2 linked regions of the Danio rerio genome follow. The protein of the gene in region 2 interacts with the protein of the main gene of each other region in a biochemical or structural test. Links are inferred from orthologs where the notes say so. Each region holds a gene or a part of one and is shown on either strand. Other genes may lie near its edges.

Region 1 (9,388 bases), on a different chromosome or scaffold from region 2:
TGAGCTAATGATCAGAATCAGGCGTGTTTGGTTAAAGAGACATGGAATATGTGCAGAGTTTGTGGTTCTCCAGGAACATGGTTGAGAAACACTGACATGGTATTGAAGCAAAGAGGGAAATTTCTGTCATTTGCTCACCTTCTACTCATTTATGAATTTCATAGGAAAGAGAAGTATTTTTCATTTAAAGAATTTTGGTGCATACAGATGTATGGAAAACTTTTGAGACATTTTACAATTTCTTTTTTCATTTTCACAATAGAAACCTTGTTTTTTTTGTTTTTTTTTTAAGTAATGAAAGTGAGTAAATGACAGCATTTTTTTGTGTTTGAAAGGAATTTTACTTTTCAAAAGTATTTGAAGGACATCTTACCCAACAATTCTATATTATCGTTCTGAAATCTTGACTTGTTTCTTCCACCAATCTAGTTTTTTGTTTGTTGTATCCAGTAAAAAGTGGACAGTGACTAATGGTTGACAGGTAAAAATGCCAAAAAGCACCTTAAAAGGAATCCCTATGACTGGATCCAATACAATAAAATGATACAATGGCTTTCTACAGAAACAGTCTTAAGTCATAAATGAAACTGCACTGCCTAAACTATGTAAAAGTCATTACGTTTCCTCTTATGTTCCTTAAAAGATGTCATGTGGGTGCACGCAATGTTCCATGGGTTATCAAAATGGCTGACATGAACTAATAATAGGGATGCACTGATCAGGATTTTTGCAGCCGATTCAGAATACCGATCCTTTGTTATTGTGATTGGCCGATATGGAGTACTGTTTCTGATGCTTCAAGCTTCATAATGCATTTTTCTTCCATGTATGACACTTAAGTGGAGATCTCGCCTTATCCAAGAGAATAAATTAAGAATGCTGCACATAATCCCTTAAAGGCATCTCTCATAACCATTGTGTGGACATACCATGGCCAGAAGCAGCTTTACAGAAAATAATATAACACAGATATAAAAACTCCTCTGCATGTGAACTCATCAACAAACCACCTGCGATCGGTTCATGAGATCAGCCAGATTGGCGAACACCGTTCAAGTCATTAAATGTGATTATCGGCCGATACCAATCTTCAGCAGATTGATTGGAGCATCCAAAACTAAGAAGTAATATTTTTGCAGCTTACCTTAGTAAATGTTGATTTCTAAATGCAATATTCACCTTATTCTTCCCGTACGAGCGATTCCTAGTCATTTCTGTCATAGGCAACTGAAACGGAAATTCTAAAACAATAGCAAAAACAATCGCATTTCCACATTGAAGGATAAGGTAAATAGCACTTCAAGTTGTACAGTGCTAATATAAATACATTACATACACATGAAGAATAGTATAACCAGGCATTACCTTAATAAATGGCTTATAAAATGATTCATTCGTAACGCCAAACTAATAGAAACAAACTGAACATCAATATTACACGTTACTGTGTTTGTAATATTCTTAATCATCTATAAATCATCCAGAAGGTGAGACTTTCCTGCTTTGTGTGTGCAGTCGTCAAAAAACAGAACAAATGCTACTATAAGTAGCCACTCGCATGGACTTCTCCATCAACATTTAATATGCTCCTTTTTTTGTCTGTTGCTTTTTTTGTGAAAGAAAACAAAAAAACGAAACAAAAAGTTAACTCTACAAACTACCAGACAAGGTTGTTTTTCCATCTCATGATCCTTGCTAAATCAAACCAAATGAACCCCAAAACAAAACCAAAAAAATTGAGTGGAAGCGGTGCATACGACTTCAGAGTCTTGGATGGGGTAATGGTCAAATCCCCAGTGAAGGAGTGAAAGGAGGAAAGCTGGAGCTGCTCAGGCGTCACTTCATCTCCTCCTTTCCTCAACGAGTCTCACAACACACAGAAGTTCAGATAAGGGTTTACTGGGGGGGGCGGGGGCGTAAACTAGGATACTGCAATTCCCAAACAGTTGTCCTGCTGCTGTGGTCAGTGTGTGCGTGTGTCCACAGACCTAACTGTTTTTTTATTTTTATTTTATCATTCATGCATCAATCTTCCTCCCCCCCCAGTGCTGACTGTCCATCCCAGCATCTACCCTCCTTCCCTGGCTGGTAGTGAAGGGTTTGGTGCTGGTCTTTGTATTCCTAAACCATTTGTGTCCATATAATTGTCAGCGAATCTGCCAAATGATGAAGTCAGATTTGCGTGGTGTTGGAGTCTCGATTAAACCATGCTCAGAATTCACCTCGGGGAACACCAAGCGACACACGTCAACTGCACTACATTAAAACACACAGTCAGAAATGGAATGGAAAGAAAGACGATCTCTATCTACGCTATGGTTGTCTACAGGCAGGATCCAGCGGTACTGCGCTAGTAGTCGTAATGAAGTCTGCGAGCATCTACAGCACGTGTCCGTCTCTTTCTCGAGAGGCCTGGACGAACATTTAGGTCAACTCAAGATGGCCGCCGAAAGCCCATGCTGAGAGAAGTTGATATGCGACGGCCTGTCCATGTTGCTGGAAACGTTAAAAAGCCAACGGTGAAGTGAAGGTACGATGAAGATCCTCGAAACTCAAATTCATATTAAGAGTCAATGATGGAGTTTGTGAAGCTAAAAAAGTGGGAGTTCATGAAGGGTGGGAGGGGGCGTGCACATTTGTAAAGCATTTATTTAAAAAGAAAAGAAAAAACAAAAGTGTCCCATCGTTAGCGTTCTGACCGAGTCCTTTGAGTTGAGTCTTGAGTCTCTGGTTTGTGCTTTTTCAGCATGCTTACAGACAAGTGCTGCCTCCTAGTGGCTGGTTGTGGAGCAGGCGCTGCATGTGGCTTTGGAGGAGGGGGATTTGTGAGTAACAGTGACAACTCAGGCACGTTGAACTGGCCAAATGCCTGCGCACGCTAACATTATAGGGCCGCGGGACGGATATGTAAGAATAAAACGCCAGTGAAAGAAATTTTAGAATATATACATATAAGTATACATGTATATCTATATATATATATATGTAGAGACAGAGAGAGAGTATAAAGTGATGGTCAGAGACTGGTGCACTGGTTTTGGTTTTCTGAATTTGGCTGTTGGTTTGCAGGGGGGGTAAAGGGGACGTTTGGAGAATCGGACATGCAGAGGCCGTCCCCTCAGCCTTAGCTCCCGTAGTGCATGGTGTTGCTGGGGATGGCCATTGGAGATGCCATGGAGATCGCCGGGCCGCCCATGGTGAACTGGTTGGTGACGGGGTAATGAAGACTGGCGCTGCTTGGACCCTGCTGCGCAGTTGTTGCCCCTGAGAAGAAAAATGCAACATTATAACCTTTGTATCTCAGAACATTTAATGATCAAGGCCTTAAAGTGCTCACATTGTGCCATCTTAAAACTTTGTGATTTATAGAGATGTGAAGTTTGAATCATTTTACTGACTTGGACCTTTGAGTCTCGTTTGTTGAGATGAACAAATCTTGTTTTTTTTTTCTTGAGTCATTTCGTTCAATTTGCCTAAAATATTAAAAGGCTACGAGTTGCTTTAAAACTCATCTATAACTAGCCCAAACATTCATCACACTACAAACAAGTCATAACTAGAATGCTGTAAGAAAGTAATGTAAACACTTGTTTGTAGAGAAAGTAGTTTGATCATTTTATTATTCCAAGTCATTTCTCTCATAGACGACTGAATCGGAAGTCCTAAAACAAATTGCAAAATGAGCGCACTTCCGCATTACAGAATAAAGTCAATAGCACTTCAAGTTGAATAGTACTTATATTAATATATTACATACAAATGAATTATAGTATAACCTGGCACTGATTGAAATGATTCATTTGTAACACCAAACTAATTTAAACAAACTGAACATCAGTATAAAGAGTTACTTTTTTATAAGATTCTTAATCTACAACTCATCCAGAAGGTGTGACTTTCCTGCTTTGTGTGTGCAGTCGTCAAAAAAACAACAGATACTACTGTTAGTAGCCACTCGCATGGACTTCTCCATCAACATTTAATATGCGCCTAATAGAGAAAATAATCATTTCTTGTTTATCTGCTCTTTTGTCTATGATCATGTCAGCTCACCTTTTCTGACAGCTTAAATTTGAGTCATTCGTTTACGTCACACAGACAGTTCCATATAAGCTTAACCAATGCACACAGTCTGCGCTGAAAGGAGCCATGATTAGTTCACCTTTCAAGTTTTCTGGTTTTTGAGTCGTTCGTTCATCATGTGACAGCATGTAAAGCATAGGTCACAAACTCAATTCCTGGCTCTGCACAGTTTTGCTCCAACCCTAATCAAACACAGCTGATCCAAACAATCGGAGAGGGTGCTCGCTGCAGAGCCATTTGAGCAGAGCTGAGCTCCAGCGAGGGGGAGCATGAGCTCTCGCTCCTCCTCCTGTAAGCTGTTTTAATGCGTACACCAACCCCACCCCTAACCCTACCCCCAGTGACATCACTCGTAGAAGAAGTGCAAAAAAGGTGGAGCTCAAGCTCAAGCTCCCCCTCGCTGGAGCTCAGCTCGCCCAAATGGCTCTGCAGCGAGCACCACTTGAACAATCGAGTTGCTCAAAAAGGTTTAGAACACCTTATTTAGTGGCATCAGCTGTGTTGGATTAGGGTTGGAGCAAAACTGTGCAGAGCTGCAGCCCTCCCCGAATTGACTTTGAGACCTATGATGTAAAAAACAGTCGAACAGTATTCAGGTATACAGTAATTGAATAATCAAATGTACAATAATACTGCATAGTCTTTTATTTAAAAACTCAATAAAACTTATCATGGTTAATTTGTTAAGGGCACAAACAGTACAATATTTAAAGCCTGAATGCTTTTAAAACTCTCAAAAAGTCCTCAAAAAAAAAAAAAAACTTGTGAAATAATAAATTATAATTCAGACTCAACATTGCATATTCTCGCGATGTGACTATTGCAAATGATCAGATTGTGATATCGATCCTGAATTGATACATTGTGCAGCTCTACAATAAAGCACATAAGAGCACTTTAAAAGCTGATGTGCAGCAAATCATGTTAAAAACTCTACATAAATGCAATCATTCATATTCAAAATAAACAATTGACTTTATTAACATTTCTTGTTTTGCTTGTAAGAAAGCTTATTTGTATGAAGTAGTTGATCAAAGTCTCCCTATTTGTTTAATATGACATGATGGTGAGAAAATCATACATTTAAAGAGTGATGTACATTTCTAGAAATAGACACTCACCCTGGACGATTCCTGTGCTCATTATAGAGCCCATTCTGGAGTGAGTGTGGTTCACGATCCCCGTGTTCACTGGAGAGGAACGAACACAAACAAACCCCTCTTCAATTTACACAGACAATGTCATCTACATCAACACCTTAATACTTGGAGACTGAAACAGAGTCTTAAACTAAGGCTTTTAGAATGGATATTAAAGGGGTCACATTTATTTATTTTTATTTCCACAAGGTCCAATTATAAATGGCATTTTCTGATCATCCAACAGTAGTCAATGAATACTGCACATAGACTATATCAAATGCCTTCCACCAACAAAACTCATAATGGGCCATTCAAGTAGCTTTATAGCTTAGCTTTAAAATGGATTTTAAATGTTTTGATGTATGCAAGTAACAGAAATATTAACAGGGTTCCCACTGAAAGCCAAATGTCAAATTCCCTGACTTTCACTGAGTAAAAAGCTGAATTTTCATGACCTTTTATGAACAGAAAAAACAGGAAGCTGTTGTGTCGAGCGGTCCATCCACATTTGGGCAACCAGGACATGGATCAGTTTTATATTAAATAGCATATTCACATATAGAAAGTGCTCAACTAGTGTGTGATCTCTTGAGCCGTCATAGACACGGTACACTAGGGCTGGGCGATATGCCAAAAACCTAACCTTATTATTATCCATATTGAATGATAATGATATATATTAACGCAAGTTGATAATGCTTTCAGATTTAAGAGTACCCCAACAATGACTGAAGCCACAAAAATCAGAGAGTCCATTACCAGGGTATATGCAGGAACCCTCATTTGAATTAAGACTTTTTAAAGACCTTCTCTAAATATTTTAATACTTCATCGCCAGTTCAAGTTCAACTAATGAAAGTTCTAGTAATGTGGAACCAAACCTTTAACTTAATTAACAGTTGTAGATAAAAAAATTAAATGGAGCACAACCATGCAACAGAACACGGATAAGCTCGGAAGGAACAAAGCATGAAATACAAATTACGTGGTTGTTTTCAGCGACAGGCTTCAGCCACTGTTTACACTCATCTTTCCTCAATTAGAGTACGCAAACTTACATTTTACCAACTGTTTCACTCTATGGTTTTGCTACATGCGAAGAGTGTCACATCACCTTCCCACGTTTGTCGCAGATTACATCACCCATGGAGGAGCTAGAACACACCGCAGCACGAACCAATGGCATTGATCGAGTACGCCGTTGTTAATATTAGGAGAAAAATAAATATATTTATGCTTTTTTGGAGTCAAACACTTTGGACAACGCTTGAACAAAATTTAAGACCTCGTAAAATGTGACTAAGACTTTTTAATCCTTTTTAAGGGCCTTAATTTTCTCATAACTGATTTATCAACTTAATACTTTAAGACCCCGCAGACACCCTAACTAAGTGATAGAACATTTTTGACTGATAAATTTTCAGTGGCCAAAAATTCGGTACATTCTAATTTTAACTCACTTTTAGATTCCCATAGCTGTACATTTCTGCTCTGTGATTGGCTCTAAGATCAATAAAGAGTGAAAAAGTGCAGAGTCTATCAATGTTTTTGACATAAATTTGATCATGACTGATTAAAATAGCATTTATTGGACTAGCCCTACGGGACGGTACAGTATGGTATGGCATGGCACTGCACTTCTGCACTTAGGTCTGTGACGTGTTTCACATCAAGTTGTATTATTGCAATGAACATTCAGCCACAGCAAAAACAAACAAACAATTTCCATACATTTATGCTACAATAATAAAAAAATTTCCCCTACAAAACTCAGGAAGGACTGGTTGAGCACTGCGCAGTTAAAAACAGCCACAAGTACAGCATGATGAATGCATTTGATTGGTGATAGCAAAGTAAAAAAAATAAAATGGCAGTGAAAAATAGCCTAACCATAACAACAGGCAAAACCATGTGAAACAACACATCAAACATGGTACAGAAATGGGAAGTTAAATGACAAATAAAAGTCCCTGATATTCCATGACTTGACATGAAAAATATGTAAAATTCTCTGACTTTTAATGACTTGAATACCCTGATAAAACTCCATAATATTCCAGAAATGTCATGACCTGTGGAAACCCTGAATTGAAACGGGATCCTTCACGATGTGGCCCCTTTAATACTTCATGTAATTTCTTTAAAACTTCAGTTGGGATCTTAGAGGGCTAGAAAGTATTATGTGTATTTGTGAGCGTGTGTGTAAATATCCATACGTGCATGCGTGTCTGTACCAAGGGGGATGAGATTGTTGTGGGACACGGTTGTCCCACTGCCACCAATGACAGTACTGAGGTCATAGGCTGTAGGCATCCCTGAAACACAAAGAGAGAGAGAGAGAGAAACATCTGAGTCGCATCACAACAGTCAGGGTTCATTTTACCTTTACTTTCAGGTAAATATTCATGATCTAATGTGTCATGCGAAGTCTCTGTATACAAGGTAAATAATAAGTAAAAATGCATGTGCACTTTCAACACAGCATTTCATAAAATATGTGACAATACATGCAATTTATATTTATTTTATGTCTATGTAAAATGTATGATATATTATTTTATTTAACATTGATGTGTGGAAGCATTATGTGAGAGCATGTGATTGGCCAAGGCTATACCATTAATTGTAATTTCTACACACAATTTACAAATAATGATAAACATTACTGATAACAAATGATAAAACTAATAACAAAAAAGACAAATCCTTCATAACATTAATAATAAAAGCTTAAATCAGTGTTAACTATAAGTAAAGATTGGAAGGAGGCTAAATACTATATGCACCTATTTTCAGAAAATAAAAGTTTCACACTTGGCAAACCAAAACACAAGGTATTACGATAACTCAATTCTGACTCCAGCTATTTTATAGTTTAACATAACATTTTTAAATAAATAGATTAACTGGTTCATGTTGATATTAATATGATTAACAAACAGCATCACTTCACTAATTAAGCAATAATAACTTTCAGAAAAGAAATGTAAGGTACCAATCCAAAATACCAATCTAGGGTAAAAACTGAAGAATACTGTGGGCTCCACTAGATGGGGCCACTTGCTAGTGCTGCACATCAACCCACATGCAAGAATAATATTTAATAATTTGACATTATTTTGTTAACCCTTTGTTTTAACATGACCTATAAAACATAAGTTAGTGTATATAGCAAAAACCCTGACAAATATCACTGACAAATATCTTCTATTGCAAAATTGAGCTTATGTTAAAGTGAAACCAAAATCCAGTTACTTCAATAGGTTACATATTAAACATTTATGATAAAACACTCTGTTCCGATAAATTTGCAGAAGGCGGTTTCTATAAATAAGGACAGTCCTCAAGTACATAAATATGAGAGCATGCATTCACCACATACAAACTACTGTATAGCTGATATCTTGCCGTTTGTGTGATCATATTTTAAAAAATTATAGACTTATAAGAATACAAATTCAACAGTATCTTGCCTCTGCAGTTTGCGATTGTTTCTGAGCACAGCACTCAACATATTCCTTGACTTAAGTATAATTAATTTTCTTTTAAGCTCACGAAGACAAAGTCACATTGAGAGACCGACCGCACAATTATACATAAAAATGTAACTAATAATACCAATTAAAATGTTTTCGAGTATACACATATTTGTTAAACAAATTTCCATGACTTTTCCAAAACATTGCGGGTTTGTCTTTCCAAAATGTTTTACAGGCCTGAAAGATGCCATGTCAAAATTCCATGACTATACCAGGTTTTCCCATGAGGAGAATTTAGGGAATACATTTAGAATTTGTAAGAAGCGTCCAGGTGCTGTACCTGACACAGCCATGCCTTGGCTCATGCTGTATGTTCCCCCAGTGTTCCACATGTTCTCTGAGGGAGAGCTATAATGTGAACCTGGAGGAGGGGCAGGTGTTGTGCCCGTGTACCTGTGAAACACAACACAGAATAAGGGAATTATGGTCAACTAACTTGGAGCCATGGAAAAACAAATTATTTTTTAAGTTAATGAAATATGAATATTTCATATTCCTCCCCAAAATGTACAAGACAACATTCCTTGTTTTTGGTTAGGTTAAAATGAAAGTAAACTAAAACTAAAAATAGAATTGAAACTATACAGACATTTTAACAAAAATAAAAAGGACTGAAAATTACCA
Region 2 (10,385 bases):
TGATTTATTTTATCTGTGCCATGATGACAGTAAATAATATTTGACTAGATATTTTTCAAGACACTTCTATACAGCTTAAAGTGACAATTAAAGGTTTAACTAGGTTAATTAGGGTAACTAAGCAGGTTAGGGTAATTAGGCAAGTTATTGTATAATGATGGTTTGTTCTGTAGACTATCAAAAATATATAGCTTAAAGGGGCTAATAATTTTGACCTTGAAAATGGTGTTTAAAAAATTTAAAAGTGCTTTTATTCTAGCCGAAATAAAACGAATAAGACTTTCTCTTGAAGAAAAAATATTATCAGACATACTATGAAAATTTCCTTGCCCTGTTAAACATCATTTGGGAAATATTTAAAAAAGAAAAAAGAAATTCAAAGGGGGGGGGGGGCTAATAATTCTGACTTCAACTGCGTGTATTTAGCCCTATAAATGCAAAAGACTTTACATTGCTAGAGTGTGTAACAGATAAATGATTCAACATTAATTAAAATTAGTTATAGTTAGGACACTAGAAATCTGGCAATGATGGAAAACAACAAAATTTAATTCAAGTTGACCTGTATAGCACTTTTCACAATAATGATGCACACCCACATGAAAAAAGAAGGTCTTGAATGTCCCAAAAAAATATCAATAACTCCTTTTCATCCAAAAACGAAGTTACTGCCTTTTGCATTTGCATGGCAGAATGGGTGATCAGAATGGGTTATTCCTTTCAAAAATTTAAAATTTTTGTATGAATGAAAATGTACAAATTCATTCTATTCAGCCAAAAAATAAAACAGTTACCTTTTATGAGCTGGGGGTTTATAAAATATAATGCACTGTGACAGACTGAGTGATCTGGTTTGCCGTTTGTGTTATTGATTGAAGCTGATCTTCATTTCAGGGCATCCACGCTGCCCACCGGTTTAATCTCAGACAGCAGGTGAGGTTCAGTGCTGTGTGCCTGTTAACCTGCACTGCTTAACCCAAACCAATCCGGCCCTTTCACTCCATAAACCCAAAGCCCCACAACCCACCAGGACATCACCGCCCATCACAGTGTGTCCGACCTCTATGTGTCTCTCTCTTCAAAGAGCCTCACCATAGCCTGCACAGATCATTGGTCGTGCCTTGCGTTCATCACTGTGATGCCTGCCTGCTCATTGGCAACCATTCATTTGTCACGCAAAACCATTTAAATGTCCCGTTGTGTTTCCAACAGGTTCACTGTGGGACACGATGGGACGGAACCAGACCAGGAGGAGAACTTTTGGTCACAAGCGCTGGAAGACCTGGAGACGTGTGGTCAATCGGGAATCCTGCGAGAGCTTGAGGTAATTTAGGAGAACAAAGTTGTCCATTCCCCTCTCCCTGTGTTCAAACTTTAGCTCTTTTCATTCATCAATTCCCTCTATCCCATACTTTTTCCAGTTGCATGTTGCTGTACCAACCCTTGGTTTTGTGTAACAGCTCCTTCTTTTTCCAGGACAAGCCAGACAGGCTTCTGAATAAGAGAAACCTGGCCATCTTGGTACCCCTTTCCTTTCTTTGGGCTTCCTCTTTGCTTGTAGCGCTGGCACCCAAGTGCTCTCCTCGTGCTAATGGGCTCAGTGTCTCTTGCTGGGGGCCTGCTTGAAAGGGTTGGGGTGTTGGGGCTCACAGACAACCACTATTGGCATCCACTTCACATCCTAGGGGTGCATTCAAAACGCAGTACTATGTAGTAAAGGCTTAGTTCACCCAGATTCAGTCCACATTTATGCACAGTTATGTCGTTCCAAGCTCATTTATGTTTAGGTTAAGGAAAAACAGTTGGAGTAATGAAGACATTAAAGGTATAAAACAATATTACTTCACTTAAAGGGCACCTATTTTACCCCTTTTTCAAGATTTAAGATGAGTCTTTTGTGTCTCCAGAATGTGTCTGTAAAGTCTCAGCTCAAAACACCCATCAGATTATTTATTATACCTTTTAAAATATTGAAATGTTCTGCTTTGAACACAACGTAGCTGTTTTTGTTGCCTGCGCCTTTAATGCTAGTTCTCCCCATCCACCGTTCCCAAATGCCTGTAAGAGCGTGCTTCAATTTTCCTGCTGTGTCAAATAAACAGCACAGTGACAGACATGAAGGACATTTTGGAGTTGATGAGATTGATGAGTAACACACATAATGTCATTACAAAGTTCGGAACGGACAAATCGGACACACACACATCGCGCGCGTTTAACTTTGCACTGTTTTTGCATGCAAAGTGACAGGATACACATTAATATCCACTGCTGTATGTATAGCCGTTATGTTAATGTACAAAATAAACCCAATTTAACGTCCACAATTCGGGATTGAAGCATTTTCTTCTATAATTGTACTGACATACGGCTGTGCACTGCAAAAAAGAATTCTTAGAATTTTTGTCTTGTTTCTAGTCCAAATATCTCAAAATTCGTAAATCAAGAAGAATTTTCTAGACAAGCAAAACATATGGTCTTGTTTTCAGAAATAATATGCTAAAATGAAGTGAGTTTTCCTTAAAACAAGCAAAATAATCTGCCAATGGAGTGAGCAAAATATTCTTATGTCAAAAGGAAAAACAAGATTATTTAGCTTACCCCATTGGCAGAGTATTTTGCTTGTTTTAATTGAAAACTCACTTAATGTTGGCATATTATTTCTGAAAACAAGACAATATGTTTTGCTTACCAAGAAAAAGCTTCTTGGTCTAAGATATTTGGACTAAAGACTACAAAAAATATATAAGAAAAGCATTTTTTGCAGTGTGTGATAAAGTAAAGACTATAAAATTGCTGCAGTTCATTAGAAACATGCACTGTTTAAACGTTTTAAACTTGTAAAACTCATTCATGATCACATTTGATAATGATTAATGATCACAGAGAGGCGATGAGATCTTTTAATCCTTGTTGCTTTGCGCACATCCTGTCTTGTTGATATGATTATACACGTTACTACAGAGACATGTTAATACATGGCTGTCAATCAATTTGGTGGGCGGTGAAACCACATTTCTACATCACGTTGTGGTGGGCCTCAAAATAGAAGGGATTCTATTTTAATGTCAGAAAATGTAAAAAATAAAAAAATAAAAAAAAGAGAGACTTAATGTGTTTCTATCACTTAAATAAGACTGTGGACACATTATACCCACACACAGTTCTTTCCAAACAGCTTTCAAAACATGATTTTCTTCATAGGTGCCCTTTTAAAAAAATGTATACTATTATTAATTGAAATAACTGATAAAATAATTAATAGATTTAGTTTTAAGAATAACAATTCAATTGTTTTAAACTGTCTTTCCACACAAATATTTTACACACCAGCAGTAATGCTTTCAAAAAAACTTCAAGAACCTGTGAAACCTATCTCAAAAAATAAATAAATAAATAAATAAACAACATTTTCATTCATTTAGAGCTTATAGAAAACCCCATCTGAAGACTGAATGTTGCTGTCATTAAACTAATGAACAAACTCTGTCTATTTTAAGGCTATCGCATTGTTGTTTCACATGAGAAAAACAAGAGAAAAACATCTTCGCCTGTTAACAGCAAGGCCTGCTGTGAAGAAAATATGCTCTGACGGCGCAGGGACACACTGATATCAGTCTGATAAGCGACTGAGTTTCTCATTGCAGTTTTCTTCCCACTATAAAGCAGATCCACATCTAGTGGGATGCATGACTCTAACGAGAACTGAATATGCCAATAAGAATGGAAATATTGCCACACTTGGCTCTGCCTGAAAGTATCCCAGCATCTCTCATCAACCTCAGCATCTCGTATTCGCTCATGACTTGCTCAGGCGTAACGGTGAAATGCAGGTAACGGATCCAGTGCCTTTTATTGGTGCAAAGTTGGAATTGTGTTTTTACTAGCTTGATGCAAATCGAGATGAGGTTTGAGAGCTGTGAAGGACAAGATTTTCCATCTTTCACCTCATACTAAGCCATTGTAGGGCTTTTGTGAGCTTGTACAGAACACATCACAACTAAAGTCCTAAATAATATGGGTTTGGAACAACATGAGGGTCTGTAAATAATGGCAGAATTATTATTTGTGAGTGAACTATCCCTTTAAATACTAAAAAAGAAACAAAAGCGTTGATTGAACTGATAAGAATTGCTTAAAAATTGGCTTTATTCTGTCGCTGAATGCATTTTATTTTGTCTCGTACAGTAGATAAAATCACCTGTCATGTCACACAATGGTGTGCTTGACATGCTTTGTGGCCAGCCTTGAAATATTTCATGAAAGCAGATTGATTTGCTTGCCTTGACTTTATCAGGTACCTTGAGTTAAACGCCAGCCACGTGTAGCCGACGGCACAGAGAAGCTTTTAGTAGTCAACGTTAGGACAAGCTGTGAAAGCTCTTCACTTTCCATCCCACTTGTCTGCGGAAACACGATAAAATCAAAAGCCTTTTACGCTGAATGTACCCTTTGGCCCTAATTGGATTCGATGAAAGTGTTTGCCTCTGGTTTGTGTCAGTATAAATGTACTATTGAGCTCGAAACGGCCTGAAAAACATTGTACGAAAGTCACACGTTTTCATTTTCCACATGCTGAATTGATTGAATGTGGTGTCGAGGTGCATGATTTACATGTATGATCATCGGTTTAATGATTTTTATGCTGCTTACCACAAATGCATCGGCTTGGACGAGTTTCCTCTTTTGTGTGGTCACCTGTCATTAACCTGGAATCTCCATTCCGTGCGGTTTGAGTGAGAGTCACACAAACTAGCAAATGACGGTGGACGGAAGATAACGAAGGCATGTGGGCTCATGCAAAGCATGATGGAGGAGATGCAGCAAGGCTTTTTTGTTGTGAAAATTTAGTCTTGTGTAGTCGTGTCTTCAGCAAAAGGCCAGAACCAGGTTCTTTTTGAAGATCATCTTCAAATGACTCCAAGAAACATACAAAAACAATGCCCACTCTTCATAATGTTTGTGTAATCACTGCCATGGCTTGCCATGGTGGACGTCGAAGCAGTTCAATCCACTCATTAGTGTGTCAAAATGCATGTTACTAAGAGTTTGTGTATCGTTGTCCATCATCATTTTGCTTCTTGTAACATACTAAACAGGAAGCATAACAAACTGTAAATGAAATGCTTTTGAATGTTTAATGAGTGTTTATGAGTGTTTCTCTGTCAATGTAACTTCCACAAACTAAAAGTCAAATGTTTGGGGGTTTAGAAAGAAGTTTCTTACGCTTACAATGGCTAAACTGGTGTTTATTCTAAAGCATTTTCAAATGTATTTTATTCCTGTGATAGCAAAGCTGCATTTTCAGCATCGCTACTCCACTATCACATGGTCATCATCAATATTTTTGTGTAAGCCAAGATGCATTGTTTTCACGATTCTTTGATATCCACAATTCAAAAGACCACCAGTTATTTGAACTTGAACTTGTTTGTTACCTTATAAATGCCTTTACTGTCAGTTGAGCTCAATTGTATGATGCTAATCCAATGCATGGTATGGCTTAGTCAGTACAGCTCAATTTTGAGGGTGTATTTTTTATTATTAACACCTCTGTTCCTAAGAGAGACATATAAATGCTGAATTGTGACCTATAAAGACTATCACTAATCACTGAATGTCCAAATAAAATGGCCACTATCTACATCCTTTTAAATGACTGTCACATGCAACTTAACATTGCTGTGTCATTGTCAGTAGATGAGATGAAGTTCTTCTCAGGCAGCTGACGAGCAGTTTCAGCCAAAGCTGGCTAAGGCAACGCAGAATGTAAAGGCACTGCAACTATATTGATATGTCTGTAATTCAATTCACTAAACTGCAGCGGAACAGCAAGCCAAAGTAAAGTGAGCCAAACTAAAACAAGCCAAACCGAACTAAGCCAAGTCATACCAAGCAGAGGAAAAGCAGCTTTAATGTATCTTTACTGGATTAAAAGCTTCTCTTCTTTTAAAACTCCCAAACTTTTGAATGGCAGCTCACACTAGACTTCACTTATAAAGTGCATTTTATTTGTTTTTTGCTTCATATAACCAGCACTTATATCGGCTGGTACTCAGCTCCTTTCCTCGTGGTTTTCCCTCTAGGCCACCATTATGTCGGGCAGCTCTTTAAGTCTAAACCACGACCCTGCGCCCACCCGAAGCCATCTGGGCCGTCAGGCCAGCTTTCAGGAACGTGGCAGTAACAAACCACAGTACTCACAGGCCAACCGCAGCAACACGCTGCCCACTGATGTCGGCAGAAAAGCTTTCGCCATGAGGAGAATGAAGCAGGAGATCAAAGACATCATGTCACCAACCCCGGTAGAGCTTCATAAGGTGAGATTATTGATCATTTCTCGATCAATTCAGTCTATTTAAAGCCGGTTTAATGTGTGTAACTGCTCCCACCACTTTCACAGGTGAGTCTTTTGAAAGACTCGGATCTTGAGGACTTTGGGTTTAGCGTGTCCGATGGAGTCTTGGAGAAGGGGGTTTATGTTAACAATATCCGTCCAGGAGGCCCTGCTGAAATTGGAGGCCTAAAGCCATACGACAGGCTGCTACAGGTGAGCCACTGTCCGAATAAGTATGGATGACAGTACAGAAGGAAGTGTGGCTAATTTTGCCTTGTTTTGTGCCACAGATTAACCATGTACGTACTAGAGACTTTGACTGCTGCTTAGTGGTTCCCCTAATAGCGGAGTCTGGAAACAAGCTGGATCTAGTCATAAGCCGAAACCCAGTTTCTTCACAGCCCTCAGAACTGAACCCGTTGTCCAATGATGAGACAGTGAACTGGACTGACACTGGAGACCCTCTCGAGCAGCCGGTCGCAGGGCTGGAGCAGGGCCAGCACAACTCCACATTAGCAGGACTAGAAGACAGAGACCCCACCAAGACTTTATAGCAGAACTCCTCCCTGGTGCCTGCAGTGGAGCATTTCTCCTCATGGTGCTAAACTGAACCCTCCCCTCCCATAACGGCTCTCTCTAGTGGAGGAAAACACAAGGGCCTTGTCCTATAGCACACCCAGTCCCTTTCCTACAGTAAGTCAGAGCATGAACCACCACGACAGAGGTCCTTTCTTGAGACGCTGGGTGTGTTTTTACCCTGTGAAAAAGCAGCGAAGACCACACTGACCTCTTGGAAAACCAAATTGTGGGGGGAGGGAAACCTGAAACAGTGCCATCCCTGATTTTTATTGCCAATAAACACTAGTTTTAAGGAGGATTAAAAGAAGATGCATAAAAGCAACACATGAGACTTCTACTTACAATATCGGACTGGCCACTCTGTGATCGTCCGTGTTTTGAGTTTGAATGAGTGTGCGTGAGTGTCCGAAGACTTTATTTCGTAAACCTCCACAGTCTGTCAAAGTCCCACGTCCCAAACGCAACCGTCGACCCTCCTATTTTGTGATACTGAAACACAAGTGTGTATCGTGTATGTCTGTGTATTTCCTTCTATCTGATGCCAAGGTCAGAGCTGGTCCCTTTTTTCTTGATATGAGAAGAGATGCAGCCGCGTGGGGGGAAAAAATGATCAGCACAATGAATTTGGTAGCCATTTTTCAATTGTGACTGAACGTGGGTTATAGCCTAATGCATGAGACCTTTTAATGCGAATATTTTGTAGTAATTCTGTCCAAAAAAAAAAAAGAGCTTGGCTACACGGAAAACACCACATATTGGTTCTCTGCCTGCTATATCACCGCAAATATGAATTCCAATGTCACTCATAAGGAGAGGGTGGCACAAAGGCACCTTATCTTGAAATTGGACAGATGTCTATTTTTATGAACAGAGGTGGATGATTTATAAGGGATGTGTGTGATTTTGAGCGATGGCTGGTTAGCATGAGGTCGCTATCGACCATATACTGAAGCAGATTGATGGCACAGAGAAGGTCATTCGGGTTTGGAAACTCTTTGTACTTTGTTAGCTAATCGCCGTAGGTCTGTGGTCTCCAGACTCTCGCCCCAATTTTTGAGGAAATCCATCATTGGCCCAAAGGACAGAACAGCTTATTTATTCCAACATCAATCTCCTAAATGAAAACGACAGGCATTCAAGTAGGTACTTGCATACTGTTTACTCCACTGTCTGTGATAAATGAGAATATTACGATGAACAAATTCATCTCATATGCTTAAATTTGCAGTGCCCACTTATGACAAAAACACAAGCATGGGGTTGATATCCATGAGAGAAAAAAAAAAAGACTTTTGTATTCTTCCCTCCATTGTTTAAGTAGTTTTAAATCATTATGGTAATTTGTATATGGTACTGTTATGGTTTTCTATGTTTCATCTGACATTTTTTCAGACTATGTAAGCCCAAAGGGTACGCATTTGTAAAGAGAAAAAAAAGAAGTGTCAAATCATGAGAGAGTGGATTCATTCTACCATATGCGGTAGACCACATCACATTTGTAGCTCTACTTGGAGAAAAAAAATAAGACTAGCAAAGAAAATATGCCATACGAAAGCTGCTAATGGCAATGAAGACCCTCACCCACTCGTGTGAAACTGTGCTTTTGATTGAGTGACGTCACCCTCGTTGTCAGTGCTCAAAGATCCTGTCTACTCACCATTTTCCATTGGCACGTTGAGGTTCTACTACTGAACTCAACAAAAGCCCACTTGATGGAGAAAGTCTGGCGATGATGACAAGGTGTCTTTTGTTGTCTTTTTATTTTATATAAGCCTTCAGGTACGGGTTCATTCCCCAAACTCATGCACTGAGATGTGTTTCTCAACTGCGTAATTGCTATGTGTTGAATTGCGGTTTCCAAGCCGTTATTCGAGAGTTAGCTGTCACTTTCATTACAACGCTTTCCTTGACCTAAGTTTGTCACGACACTTCACTGTGTTACTGCAAATACACTCCGGTCAAGTGGAGAGGAAAAAAAGCAAACTCATTTTTATGTTCCATTTGTGGAAACGTTTAGTGAAGTCAAGCACTGCCAGTTAAAATAGTGGGTGTCCATTTTCAGTATACGATGACTTTATGATTCAATGTCACAGTTATGTCCCTGAAATATTGTATTTTTATTTCTAATGGACAGGTATTATGAGCTGTAAAGTATTTTTGTACAAAATTTAATACTTTGTTAGCATGATGTTTATCGTCTATGTATAAATTTGGGGATTCCTACAGCTGTAATCCTTTGTATGGCCGACGAACAGAGAAACAATAAAACGACATACCGAGTGGAGAGATGACACTGAAATGATCTCTTGATCCAATTTGACTTATGACATGGTTGTGGGAAAAGAGCTAATGATTCCATTTCGATCCCTATATAACAGGGGTGTCTAACTCAGTTTCTGGAGGGCTGTAGCGTTGCAGAGTTTTGTTTCAACCCTGCTTCAGCACACCTGAAACAAGCCTGAAGGACTCAATTTGATTGCACAGGTGTGTTTAATTAGAGTTTTATTTACAGATGAAAGGTTTTTCAAGACGTTTTCCTTCCATCTGAGACAAAGCAGGAAAGCAAGCAAATTCTGTGCGATTTGAATCAACATGGCAAGGTATGAATACTTTGATGGTGAGATTTCTCACAACACATCCTCTAATGCTCAGGTGCTGGTCAGCAGGCAGAAAGTAGGTGATTTTTGCAGCACTTCAAACACATTTAATGGATTGAGCATTTACACCTCGAAAGCAATTCGCTCAAAAGCATTTGACCACATTTGAAAGTGGTCAAAAGTGGTCAATCTCAAAACATTTCAGACAGCATTTACACCTTTATTTAGTATCATATACTTAATAGAAGAATCATTTGGTTCCCCATATACTTAACACTAGAAATAGCTACTTTTTATTTTATTTTATTTGTGGAAAACATGTTAAATTTTAAATATTTTTTGCTGGTAATTAATTTTTGATGGTTCCAGCAAAAGGTTCATCATGGAACATTTGTTTGTAAAAGTGTTTATAGTAACACACAATGTCCAATTAGTTAACAATTTTAATGCAATTTCTAAACAAAACATTAATTTTAATAATTTTTAATAATTTTCTACAGCATTTAAATCATTTTTGTAAAGTTAATTAATTGAAATGTTAGTTAATAAAACCAAAACTGCTATTTCTTAATCCTTATCGGCTCCAGTCCATTAAGAAACTGGCACCTTTTCACAGATTGAGCCTTTACATCTGATAGGCAACTCAATCTAATGCATTTGACCACATTTGAAAGTGGTGAAAAGCAGTCATACTGAAAACATTTCAGACAGCATTTACACCTATATTTAGTGTCATCCATGTGTGATCAGACTGATGAAAATACCAGGCTAACAATATCTGGCTGTATCAAAAATTGCCCACTATATCTTAGCATGATGTTCACCATACATGTGTACTCGCCAATAGATGATGACTATACATTGGTTGCAAG

Evidence for each region.
Region 1: the proteins of grip1 (region 2) and carm1 form a complex in vitro, tested with the Homo sapiens proteins (2 studies listed by BioGRID). The link is inferred for Danio rerio from reciprocal best matches to the Homo sapiens genes GRIP1 and CARM1.

What each region holds. Positions count from the first base shown.
Region 1 is NC_133178.1:33,017,935-33,027,322, reverse strand, and holds the end of carm1 (histone-arginine methyltransferase CARM1), read right to left. Parts: intron 9,158-9,388; coding exon 9,045-9,157; intron 7,541-9,044; coding exon 7,442-7,540; intron 5,274-7,441; coding exon 5,205-5,273; exon of another isoform or gene 4,717-5,204; intron 4,114-4,716; exon of another isoform or gene 3,265-4,113; coding exon 3,125-3,264; 3' UTR 2,940-3,124; downstream 1-2,939. UniProt on the Homo sapiens protein: Methylates (mono- and asymmetric dimethylation) the guanidino nitrogens of arginyl residues in several proteins involved in DNA packaging, transcription regulation, pre-mRNA splicing, and mRNA stability.
Region 2 is NC_133179.1:13,608,255-13,618,639, reverse strand, and holds the end of grip1 (glutamate receptor-interacting protein 1), read left to right. Parts: intron 1-894; coding exon of another isoform or gene 895-933; intron 934-1,212; coding exon 1,213-1,324; intron 1,325-1,476; coding exon of another isoform or gene 1,477-1,521; intron 1,522-6,086; coding exon 6,087-6,320; intron 6,321-6,403; coding exon 6,404-6,550; intron 6,551-6,627; coding exon 6,628-6,891; downstream 6,892-10,385. UniProt on the Homo sapiens protein: May play a role as a localized scaffold for the assembly of a multiprotein signaling complex and as mediator of the trafficking of its binding partners at specific subcellular location in neurons.